Rattus norvegicus: one gene and its partner. The protein of the gene in region 1 interacts with the protein of each later gene in a pairwise test. Links are inferred from orthologs where the notes say so. Each region holds a gene or a part of one and is shown on either strand. Other genes may lie near its edges.

Region 1 (5,911 bases):
GAAAAAAGAAAAGGGGGGAGGGGTCCTGTTTTCATCAGGCTTTTCGGGCTCCTCGTGGCCTGAAAGGGGGCTCCTTGACTTCTGGGGTTCCGACCATCTTCTCCTCCCCTTCCCAGCTAGGCTTGCCACATCTGGGTACCAGCCGTTCCCATGGCGACAGCCGACCACGCGGCCCGGGACAGCAGAGCTAGAGCGGCCCAGTTCACCTGCGGGTGCGAGCTTGGAAGGGCCGGGCGGTCCCCACCCCAAAGCTGCGCGTCGTGGAAACTCACCCTCGCAGGTGCCGGCAGCGACGCCCCGGGCGCTGCAACCACCCACCGGCCCGGGGATACCAGGAGCCCCAGCAGCCCCGAGGTCGCCGTCCAGCCCACTCGGAACCCGCCGCTCCGAGGGCGTGGGCGGGCCTGGAGAATGACCTTGGCGGGGAAGTTACCTGCCCTCCGACAGAGGCGGGGACCGGGAGGAGGACCGGCTCCCCTCGGCGCGGTTGCGCCTCCGACCTTGCACGGAGGGCTCGGGCGCGCCGGGCGGAGTCGCCCACCTGTGAGCACCGGCGGTGCGCGCGCCTGCCGAGCGAGCCAGTCGCCCCGGGTCTCCGCTCCGCAGGTCGGCGCGCGCTTCCGGGTGCCCCGCCCCCGGCGCCGGGATCCCGCCGCCCGCACGTGCGCCGCCTGCCCACGAGGCCCCTCCCCCGTCGCGCTCTGGCCGGGCCACCGGGCACCTGCGCCGGGCCCTCGGGGTGCTGCCGGGGTGCTGCTGTGGCGCCGGATCAGACCCGGGCGTTCGCGCGCCGCCTGAGTTCGCCGGCCTCCGGCGCCGGCAACAGGCGTTGGGTTCGATCCGCACCGTCGCCGCGTTAAGGGGTGCCACCCCACGAGTCACCCACCTTCCCCAGAGGCCCGCTGTAGCTCCCAAGCCCGGCTTATCCAACTTGTGCATGCTCGCGAGTCCTGGTGGCTGGGGCTGCCTTCCAGCCAGGCCTCTGTGGTACTTTTGATTCAGTAGTCTGCGCATTTGCAATGAAATTGCCCAAGAGAGTCCTCTCTAGGGTTTCGTCGCTGCACAAATCTGTGAGAACTGTGGGCCTACGTACAGGTTTTCCCTACCCCAGGCTTTCTAGGTTTGGTTTGGTTTGGTTTTTAAGCAGAAACAGAAGAACAGCAACTTAGACATTTTGGGTTTTATTGAAGTCAATCTATATATAACAGATTAAGATCTTAATTCTACATACATATTTAGTGTTTTATCTACAAAGCAACGTTGGTAACCTTTGAGGTATGTGATAAAGTAGTCTGAGAGAAACAACAAAAACATTCACTCTGACAGTTAACATTTTTCTAAATGTAACAATTTGAAGTTTCTAATCCACTCACTCTAACATACAGCCAGATACTTCCTATGTTCCTAAACAAACAAAACAAAACAAGACAAAACGGAACAGGAGGTATTACTCTGAAGCCCCCTTCCCCAGGGAGAGTAGATAGGACTTGTGAAGAGAAACCCTTCCCTTTAGCCAGTATTTTTATTCCCTACAGGCTTCGCAAAAGCGTTGTTAACAATGACATTTGGCTTTGGTGACCTGAGGGAAAGGCAACATTGACTTAAAGACAATGGATATTCAATAAGAATAAATATATGTGCGTGTTCTAGAAAGACCTCTAGAGAACAAAACAATAAATAAATATGTCCTGAACATTCCCTAAATCCTGGGGGACGGAGCTAATTTCAAGTCTGGTCACAGAGTCCTTCTTTTCACAAATGCCTAAGCAGCTGTCCTGAGAGCCCAAGCTTGTGCCTCTCAACTTCAGTCAGCACGCACGTCCCCCAGTCTTTACTGGCGAGTGCGAGTATCTGTCTGTCTATCTTCTGATTGCCAGCAAGACAAGCTACACACAGAATGAAGAATAAAGAATGAAGCTGTATGTAGCTGCTACTGAAAAGCCATCAATTCTTTTCCATGGCATGGGTCACTTCCATTATGGGCCCTCCTAAGGTGAATCCAAGCATAATTCATGGTCTCATTTGATCCATCATGAAATGCCCAGACTTTATAATAATCTTATGGCTTCTAAAACTAAAAGTAGTTCATTCTGAGCATTAATAACTCGAATACTTCCTTCTCCTAAATTACTATTCAGTCTTTTGGATGTATGAAGGGTAATCTCACCTTTGGTAGATATAAATATGTACCTACATACATATATACATATACACACATTTATGTACATGTATATATATATATATATATGTATGTGTGTATACATACACATATATTCCTTCATTAAGATACAACATGGTCAATGACTCTTTCAGACATACAAAAGGTCTGACCACTGGCCTTGAAGCCAAGTCAATGAAGACATTGTAAAGTTTAAAGATACAAACCTGCAATGTCTGCACTTGGAAAATGATCCTTTAAGGTGACAAGTGATTAAAGGGTTCCTTCTTACCTTTTTAGGCTCTTAGACTCAGCTATGAACACACCCCACTGGGCACAGGGACTCTGTGCTAACGTAAATTTAAAGGATCAAGTGACAAGCCTCACTGGAGAAGAGAAGCCACTGTAGCCAGGGTGTCTTCCTTCCCCCCTTTTGTGTCACAGAATTTCAATTCCAAAATATATTTCATGGTTCACTAGAGAAATTCACAGCTTGAAAATAGCTATAAGAAGTGAAAAGATAGAGTCTTAAGGCTACTGGTGAGAATCACTGAGTAAATGTTATTTAAATAAGGCTTTTCTAGTAGAAATCCCGGTAATAAAAAGATCAGAAATGTCCTTTTGACCGCGACAGTCTTCATCCTCTGTTTCCTTCCAGATGTTGTCTTCTAGGTCCAGATGTCTCTTTGATCTCCACATTTCAGCACTAGCTCTCCACAACCACCCCAGACTTGTTCTTGTTTAGTAAATCAAAGGTTTTCTGAAGCATAATGAGTGAGCTCTTCAGCTGCAAACAGAATGATCAAAAATCAGACTTCGATTTTTGCCAGTTATTTTACTCCAAAAGATCTATGTGTATGTGTATATGTATGTCTGTGTATGTATATATACATATATATGTGTGTGTATATATACATATATATGTGTGTATTTGATTTGAGCATCTACATCAATAGATAGATAGATAGATAGATAGATAGATAGATAGATAGATAGATAGAGACGGTCAAATAAAACAGATCATCAAATACCTGATTCTCCAGTATCTGCTATATGAATTCTAGAGAGTTCTTACCAGGTACTAGAGGGCCATAGTTTTTCACTCAGTGTACATTCCAGGAAGTCCATCTGACTATCCAGAGAGAAAGGCTTGTTTTCTTAGACATTCCTCAAGGCTCAGTGGTCTTTTCCACTCTTCCCTGAACACCTCGTGCCCCATGGCTGAGTCATGTCTTCCTAATCCAAGGTCCTCTTCACAGTTCTAAAACTTACCTGTACCTGCTGACCCCATACGATCTTCCCTAACCACCCTGCCTCGGAGCTCCTAGAGCACTACCCACTTCATACTTCTATACTACTTAACTCTGCACTTTTAAAAACAGACATGAAAGCCTGTAGGGTAACTGACTTCTCTCACAAAATCAAAGCAACTGGAGACCAAGAAATATTCCGTATTCCTTACTGTATTCGTTCATTCGCTCATTCAGCAAACCTGCATTGGGTTGGGTACTGTGATTCTTCACAAAGTCTACTGCACAGACTTCACAAAGCTGTGTCAAACATTCCTAGCACTAGTCCAAAGAGCAGAGGGGGTCTAGGATAGGACAATTTGTCAAGATGGTTATAGAAGGAAGAAAGGAGGTTTCTCCTCTCTATAAGACATGGACAAGCACGGAGTGAGAGAAACACCTGAACCAAAAGAGAATGCTGAAGTGGGAGCAGAGTTAGTAAGCAGCTATAGAAGTGTGTCTACAGACGTCCCAAGCTGACAACCCGCCCATTCACACCCCTGAGGAACAACCTGGCCTACCTGTTCCAACATCACTATGGAATCCTGGAGTACTCCTTTTAAACGGTGGGCCTGATCTTTGTTCTTTTGAATATTTTCCGTTCTTGAGAGCCTGTCAGAGACTAAACTAGAAGAAAAAAATTAAATCATAAAACAGCTGCTGATCTTTCATTTACAGAAATTATTGTGCTCCATTTATTGCAAATGAAACACAAAATCATACCCACTGCTGCCGCCACCGCCGCCGCCACCACCCCAGGCGGCGGGGAGGGGGAGAACTAAGCGTGCATGACAAGATACAGCAGACCAAAGTCTCTAAAGTTAAATTTTCTACAACAGAGAAACAGGCAGGGCTGAGGCGGGGAACTTACTTTAAAGATTTCTCTCCTTGGAGGTGAAGCTGGTAGAAGGACTGGGTGGCGTGTTCTATCTTTGACAACTTCAGAAACAGTGTCACATTCAGCAGAACTAGCAGCAGCAAACTGTGCCAAGTAAAGGACAGCTGGTTAACCCACACTGACCTGCACTGCAGAGGCAGCAGCAGAGGAAGCCCAGCACCCTCATGGTAGAGTCAAGAGAATCTATTGTGATTGGAGACCGCAGGGCAGCCTGGACTACAGAGGCAGACCCCACCCCAAGACCCCCTTCCACGACTAAGAAACAGAGTAAAATAACATACATATGCAAAAGCTTTCAACTGTATATGATCTACACCATTTTCTATATTTCAATAAATTATCCCTGTTTCATTATATGAAATAACTGCTTTCAAGTATTATATAGCTGCCAAAGAGAATGATGGGAAATGCCTAGTGTGTGATAAGAAAACTCCTTGAAAGGCCACAACTCACAGATGGCCTCTGACCCCTTTTTCCTTTCTTCTTTGCTCAATCCCAGCCAGTCCTGTGCAACCACTGGCTTAGAAATCTACCAGGTAGGCTTTCAGGGTCTATTTTTGGGTTACACTGGCTTAAGCAATTACATACCCATAATACTGCATTTTAAAAATGAAAGGAAGATCAATACGTAGCTGATTTTAGGAACATCGCAATGTTACCTTTCATTCCCAGTGGAAGCAAAAAAATGTGCATAGATAGATATATAGATAGATAGATACATACATACATACATACAGACAGACAGACAGACAGATACTCTCTTTGAACAGAGAAAGTACCAGATAAATCCCAAGCATATATTACATAACGGTAAATATAAAATTTTTACATTCAAAGTTAATGTTTTCTTTTTAATATCAGCCTTTCAAATGAATACAGACCTCATTACACATGTGCACAGACTGATAAGTAGTATCATGTGCCTTTATTTAGTTCTGTTAAAAGATTTACCTGCCTCAAGCTAAACTGATTGTGTTTGGGGGCATAGCTCAGCCGTAGAATGGTTACTTAGTATGCACCCGGGCCAGGGGTTTGGTTCCAGACAGCACAGAAAGTGAAAAAAGTGTATAGAGGGTATGTAAGAAAACTAAAGGTAATGAGGAAATCAAATCTATAAAATTATCACAGCACTGAAGGGATGAACGTGTACATGCATACGTATATATAAATTCCTACGATGTAATATAATAATATTTGTCATTCAAAATGTCAGAGCAACCTGATTTTATTAGAATCTGAAAACCTTTTCTGAAACCCAGAGAGAGATCTGAGGGCCAGGGTTTACACAGGTTGTCCCAGCATAAGGGGGGCTGAGGCAGGAGGATCATGAGATAGTTCAAGGCTAAGACTTCATAGCAAGCCCCATGTCAAGGAAACAACAACAACAAGAACGACAGCAAACACTAAAAAGGATAAAAGTACTTTCTGCTTGTTCTGAAATCTGTAGTAAAGAAAAACAGGTAAGAGCTTCATTCCAAAAATTATCGCCCAGTAGAATTAGAGCTCTTAGGTGTAACTTGCTAGGTAGGTTCCCATAAATACTACAAGCATCAGACTAATTGCCTA
Region 2 (6,043 bases), on another chromosome or scaffold:
GGTTCTCTAGAGGAAATTCTGATGCGCGCATCCGCCTGCCTGGAGGCGGCGGCCCGGGAGCGCGACGGTCTGGAGCAGGCACTTCGGAGGTGAGGGCTGGCCTGGCCTGGCGAGGTCTGGGGAGTCACGGAGGGGGCAGAGACTTGGCTCGGGAATGATCATGCCTGTGCTATCCCGGTTCCTCTAAGGCGGGAGAGTGAACACGAGAGGGAGGTGCGCGGACTGTATGAAGAGCTGGAGCAGCAGCTTCGGGAGCAGCGACAGCGCCGGCAGAGTCAGGTGGGCCCGCGCACGCCACACCTAGCCTCGCTGGCTTCTCCAGCTTCTCCAGCTCCGCCTTCCCTGATTGGTCCCTCCCCAGAGGACTCACCTCGAGAGTCCAAACTGTCCCAAGTCCAGGGAACTTCGCTCTGCCTCAGCAAGTGCCCCTTCCCACGCTCTCCACCCCTTCGCTCCCTACCCTTGCCTGCCTGCTCTGAGCCCGGAGCGAAGGCTCTAGTGCGGCTGTACATCCCAGAACCCACCCCGGGAGGAAGAGAGGGGCCACCTGGAGCTGGAGCTGCAGACCCGAGAGCAGGAGTTGGAGCGCGCAGCCCTGAGGCAGCGAGAGGTAAGCCGAATTGAGTTCACTTTGGCGTCCTCGCACAGGCTCAACTTCTTTGTGTGTCTTGTGCCTTGGGGTTCTCAACCAGGAGCCGCAAGGGTGAGGGGTCAGCTTAGCACCGGAGGGGTGTGGTTTGCCAGCCTGCATTCCACCATTCCTCAGTTGGAACAGCAGCTGCAAGCCCGGGCTGCAGAACAGCTAGAGGTACAAGCCCAGCACATCCAGTTGCAGAGGGCCTATGAGGCCTTACGGGCACAGCTGGACCAGGCGCAAGAGCAGCTCATCCGACTGGAGGGCGAAGCACAGGGTCGTCAGGAGCAAACCCAAAGGTGTGGTGAAGTGCCTGTGGTGAGGGTCGTGGATCTCTTCCACCACCTTGCATCTGATTGACTACCTTCTCTCCACAGAGATGTGGTTGCTGTCTCCAGGAACATGCAAAAAGAGAAACTCAGCCTCCTAAGGCAGCTGGAGCTGCTGAGGTGGGTCAGGCCTGCCTAAGCTAATGTGGAGAAGTGGTTTCAAGTTTCCAAATATTATTGACTCCTACCCATGTTGCTGGAAGTCCTTACGTCTGCCCTGTAGCCTTCAGGCTGCAGGCTCTCTAGTCCTCTGGACTCAGGGAAAGCATCTCCCCCACACACTTTTCCCTCTAGATCTTAGTCTCCTCGGTCTCTTACCTCTCTTTTCTAGGGAGCTGAATCTGAGGCTTCGAGATGAGAGAGATGCCTGTGAGACTAAGCTGCTGGGCAGTAGCCACAGGAAGGCTCTAGCTATCGCCCACAAGCCGGGACCTATCTACTGCTGCTGTTGTTGTGGCTGGGCTCGGCCCCCCAGACGAGGCTCTGGCCATCTTCCTAGTGCCCGATGACCAGCCAGCCACCAAATGACTCACTTCCTTATCCAGAGGACTATTCTTAGGAGGGGATTGGTCTTGGGTGGCGGTTGCTTGCTAAGTATGTAGCTCTACCCAGAAAGCATCCCATGCCTGAAGGAACTAACCCTCAGAGTGGTCAGGTCTTCAGTCTTTATCCTGTCTTCCTTAATCTTTGTCTAAAGGACCAATAAAGGCCACTGTATACTGTGCATTCCTTGGTTTTTGTGTGTTTGGGAGCTACAGTGCATTTGTGGTTCGTGCACTGGGTAACACGGAGAGATTTACAGGTGCACATTACCCAGTCGTTCCTGCCCCTGTGGGTCCCCTTGTGCTTGTGTATGTTCTGTGGTTCACCAAGCCCTCACCATCCCTCACAGCTGAAGATCCAAGGACTCAGGTTTCAACAGGTGTAAACTCCCGGGTGCTGGTCCTCAAATGGAAGGTCCCGCCCCTCACTTCCGTGAGGTCAACTAGCGCTCTGGTCCAGACCATCATCCTTCTGGCACAGTTCCTAGACAGACCATATGCAATCCACACTGGGTTCCTCTCGCAGGGCCCTTATGTCTCTGTGGGACCTTTCAGAACCCTCCACACTCGATCTGGAGCTCCCCCTCTGGCATTTCCTCAACCGCTAGAACCTGCAGCTTCAGAGTTGTTCTCCCGGCTTAGACTGGAGAAGAAATTGGTCTTGACCTCAGTTCTGGGCCTCTAGTGCCACCTTCCCCACCTCTTCGCTCCCCACCTGGGTTCTTTCTCCAGCCTAGCTCCTCTATTTCTGGATGAGTCCGAGGTTTTGATAAGAACGGGTGCCCTCAAGCTAACTTTACAGACCCACAGGGCAGATCTCCAGGTCTCTCCCTTGCGCCTTAGCACCAAACCAGTTAGGACTTGCCTGCCCCAGCCGGCCGTGGGCGGGGCTGCGCCTGGGGCGGGGTCGCGCGCGGGGCGTGTCCTCGCAGGCCCCGGGCCGAGCATTCTCTGTACTCCGAATGAGCGCTCCTACAGTGGCTGCCGGGGCTGGTATTTCAAAGCGTGGTTGGTGAGTGCTCCGAAGCCGAAGGGTATGGGGAGCAGTGTCCTGAGTTCCTTGCTTACTGGTGTTCCTAGTCTCCGTGGCTGGCCTCGGGGCCACCCAGGAGGCAGAGCCCGTAGGACAGGGCTGCAGGCTCCTTTCCGGAAGATCGACGCCGGGGCAGGGCAGCTAGAAGCGCGGCGGGAAGGGGGAGGGGTAAGGAAGAGAGCCTCTGTGGTTCTTGGGCAGGCCTGGCGGTCTCTTTCGTGGAGAAACCCGGAAAGTTAAAGTCTGATCACCCTATTCATTGTCCCTGGACACCGGTTCCCTCCCCTGAGACCGCAGGTCCGCCCACTGGCACGGGGCGGAGGCGGGCGGCAGGGACGGTGGTGACTTCATCTCTGTGACGCGGGGATTCCTCGCCCAGCCGACTTCAGTATTTCATCCCGTCGGTGGGGCGGGTGCCCGGTGCCATGGAGGGCTCAGGGGAGGTACTGGAGCTGAGTGTAGGGAGGTAGTGTCCTGGCCGCAGGAGCTATTTCTGGCTGGTCCCGGCTCCCACGCGGACACTTTCTCAGGGAATTTACATTCAGTCTGCTGATTGTGCCTTGGCTTAGGTTGCTGGGTATGTCGAGAGAACCAGCTCCCCATAGGTTCTGGGCTTTTAGAGCCTAGCCCCGGGGTTTGCATTGTGGCTAGCCAAGCTTCTGTTTATGTCATTGCCCGCATCCAGTGAGGCAGCATGTATTTTTGGGTCCCATCTCCGATTGGAGGTCTGAAATCTCTCCCACTTCCAGAAGTGGACGGTTGATGCATCCTCCTTCAGTTTGCAGTCGCTGCTGTTTGGTGGGGAGGGAATGTGATGGATGAGCCTGGAGGGCGGGGCACCTGGAGAAGGCATTTGTTCCTCCCTAGATCAGGCAGGCCAGCAATGTTCTCTGGCCTACTGCCGTCCAGTAGAGAACAGTAGGCTTGGCTGTTATGCTTCCTTGCAGATCTGGTGGCTCTGAGAATCATTCTGATTACTGCTTCAGACACCATAGGAGTGGCAAGATCCCACCTGCCAGGTGAAGGGCGGGCAGATCAGTGACTTTGACCTGTACCTGCTGGTCCTGACTTCCAGAGGTGAGTGCTGGGGCTTGGGCAGATCCTTAAGGTAGCCGGCTAAAAGTTCTGTTTAGGTGCCTGTCTGGGAGCCTGGCCTGGCTCAGCTGAGGTTTGTACACTGTCCTCAGATGCTAGTGTGTCTAGGGGACCCCTGGAGGACGGCACATGCACATCTGTGGAACTGGGGAGCAGATTGCACAGGCTCCACCTACCGGCATTTTATTGTCTCTGCCCTGGCTGGTGGTAAAGTCGGCTGGCGGTAAAGAGGCTCAGAGTCCTCACAGTGTACCTGAGGGTGGCCTGAACTCGCTGCTTCTCTGCCATCTCTGGGGATGGGTATGAGTTGTAAGTACCTATCAGCCTGATCGTGGGGCTCAGGAAATGCTTGAGGGTGTCTATCCACAGGAATGTACCCTGAAGGCCTGCTGGAGCTTCCCCTAGTTGCCAGCAGGAGTGAGTCAGCAGATGTTTTGGGGGTCCTCCATGATAACCCAACATGTGTGTCTGGCCGTGAGGGGTTAGTCCAGGAAGTGACTCACATATGGTTCCTGGGAAGGCTCCTCTTAAGGCAGATAGCTGGCCGGACTCCAAACTCTGCAAGCATCTGGGGACTGCTGCATCCTCTCTGTCTTCATCGGTGTATAGCTTTCTTCTTAGTTGGAGGCCTGGTGCTTCAGGCCATCTGACCTCCTCCCCATTTCTCCAGGCCCAGGATGGGGGAATTCAACGAGAAGAAGGCAACATGTGGCACAGTCTGCCTCAAGTATCTGCTGTTCACCTACAACTGCTGCTTCTGGGTGAGAAGAGCTACATTCTCCCTGCATCCCTATTCCCCATGTTGGAGGCCTGGCCTAGGAGCTCAGTCCCAGCTTCCAGACCCAGGCCTCATGTGGTGACCACTATATACTTTCCGCAGCTGGCTGGCCTGGCCGTCATGGCAGTGGGCATTTGGACACTGGCCCTCAAGAGTGACTACATTAGTCTGCTGGCTTCAAGCACCTACCTAGCAACAGCCTACATCTTAGTGGTGGCTGGTGTTGTTGTCATGGTGACTGGAGTCCTGGGCTGCTGTGCCACTTTCAAGGAGCGACGGAACCTGTTACGCTTGGTCAGCAGGGCCTGGTGGCACCTGGTGGGGCTAGGGATGCCTGACATGGATTTCTCAGGGGTCTCTGGTACTGGTTCTGGGGGCCTGACTTGTTGAGTGTATTCCTGTAGGCTGTCCCTGTTGAACTCACTGGGGCAGACACCAGCTTCCAGAGAAGTATCAAGGAGCTAGGCAGCCCAGAGTGTAATTCCTATCCACATTCCTCTTGCTTGGCCTCTTGGGTTGGGGGCTTGGCTTTGTGGTGCTTTGGCACTAGGAACCCCCCACTTACTGGGTCCCTGTTCCCTAGTACTTCATCCTGCTCCTCATCATCTTCCTTCTGGAGATCATTGCTGGCATCCTGGCCTATGTCTACTATCAGCAGGTAAGGGCCTGAACAGGCCACAGGGTAATGTCCGGAACGAGGCTGTCAGTCCCACTGGAGGTCTTGACCAGCTTTGCCCTTACGAGTTTAATCCTACCCACAGCTCAACACCGAGCTCAAGGAGAATCTGAAGGACACCATGATCAAGAGATACCACCAGTCAGGCCATGAGGGTGTGACCAACGCTGTAGACAAGCTGCAGCAAGAGGTGGGTGCCCCCCCTGTAACTCCCAGCCTTCTAGGCATGGCGTTGTGTGCTGGCGGGCTGTGAGTCTCAGCCACATACCCCTTGTAGTTCCACTGCTGTGGCAGCAACAACTCTCGAGACTGGAGAGACAGCGAGTGGATCCGCTCTGGTGAGGCAGACAGCCGTGTGGTCCCTGACAGCTGCTGTAAGACTGTGGTAACTGGCTGTGGTAAGCGGGAGCACGCCTCCAACATCTATAAAGTGGAAGTAAGTGTGCTCAGCCTGGGTGGGGCTGGGCTGGGCTGGTCTTCAGGCAGCCTGGTCCAGTAGGGCTGTATGTGGGAAACCGGTAACGTTCACCACCATTATCTCCCGCTAGGGTGGCTGCATCACTAAGCTGGAGTCCTTCATTCAGGAGCACCTGCGGGTCATCGGGGCCGTGGGCATTGGCATCGCCTGTGTGCAGGTCTTCGGCATGATCTTCACCTGCTGCTTGTACAGAAGCCTCAAGCTGGAGCACTACTGACCATGGTGCCAGGCCAGAAGGCCAGCCTCGCGCTGTGTCCCAGCCCCCCACTACTGAACACTACTGAGTTAGACTGCTGACTGCCAGAGAGGTAGCTGCCCTCATGCCATTACCATGTCCCCTGGTGGCTCCACCTCCGTGGTAGCTTCAAGTGCCTTTCCCTGCACACCAAAGTCCCAAAGCTTGAGGCAGCGTACTTGCCCCAGCATTAACAAGAGGGGGCATGTATGCCAGTGTTGGGCTAGGCCTGGCTAGTAGAGT

Evidence for each region.
Region 2: the proteins of Gramd1c (region 1) and Cd151 interact in binary tests that used the Homo sapiens proteins (3 or more experiments, as listed by UniProt). The link is inferred for Rattus norvegicus from reciprocal best matches to the Homo sapiens genes GRAMD1C and CD151.

The regions. Positions count from the first base shown.
Region 1 is NC_086029.1:70,219,733-70,225,643, reverse strand, and holds the end of Gramd1c (protein Aster-C), read right to left. Parts: intron 4,430-5,911; coding exon 4,319-4,429; intron 4,075-4,318; coding exon 3,969-4,074; intron 2,946-3,968; coding exon 2,865-2,945; 3' UTR 1,166-2,864; downstream 1-1,165. UniProt on the Homo sapiens protein: Cholesterol transporter that mediates non-vesicular transport of cholesterol from the plasma membrane (PM) to the endoplasmic reticulum (ER).
Region 2 is NC_086019.1:205,991,829-205,997,871, forward strand, and holds the start of Cd151 (CD151 antigen), read left to right. Parts: upstream 1-2,471; 5' UTR 2,472-2,517; intron 2,518-2,846; exon of another isoform or gene 2,847-3,115; intron 3,116-3,485; 5' UTR 3,486-3,615; intron 3,616-4,303; 5' UTR 4,304-4,310; coding exon 4,311-4,394; intron 4,395-4,513; coding exon 4,514-4,705; intron 4,706-4,994; coding exon 4,995-5,069; intron 5,070-5,172; coding exon 5,173-5,277; intron 5,278-5,364; coding exon 5,365-5,523; intron 5,524-5,635; coding exon 5,636-5,782; 3' UTR 5,783-6,043. Other genes in the region: Cracr2b (EF-hand calcium-binding domain-containing protein 4A), read left to right, coding at 1-89, 189-279, 518-610, 767-933, 1,012-1,083, 1,295-1,472. UniProt on the Homo sapiens protein: Structural component of specialized membrane microdomains known as tetraspanin-enriched microdomains (TERMs), which act as platforms for receptor clustering and signaling.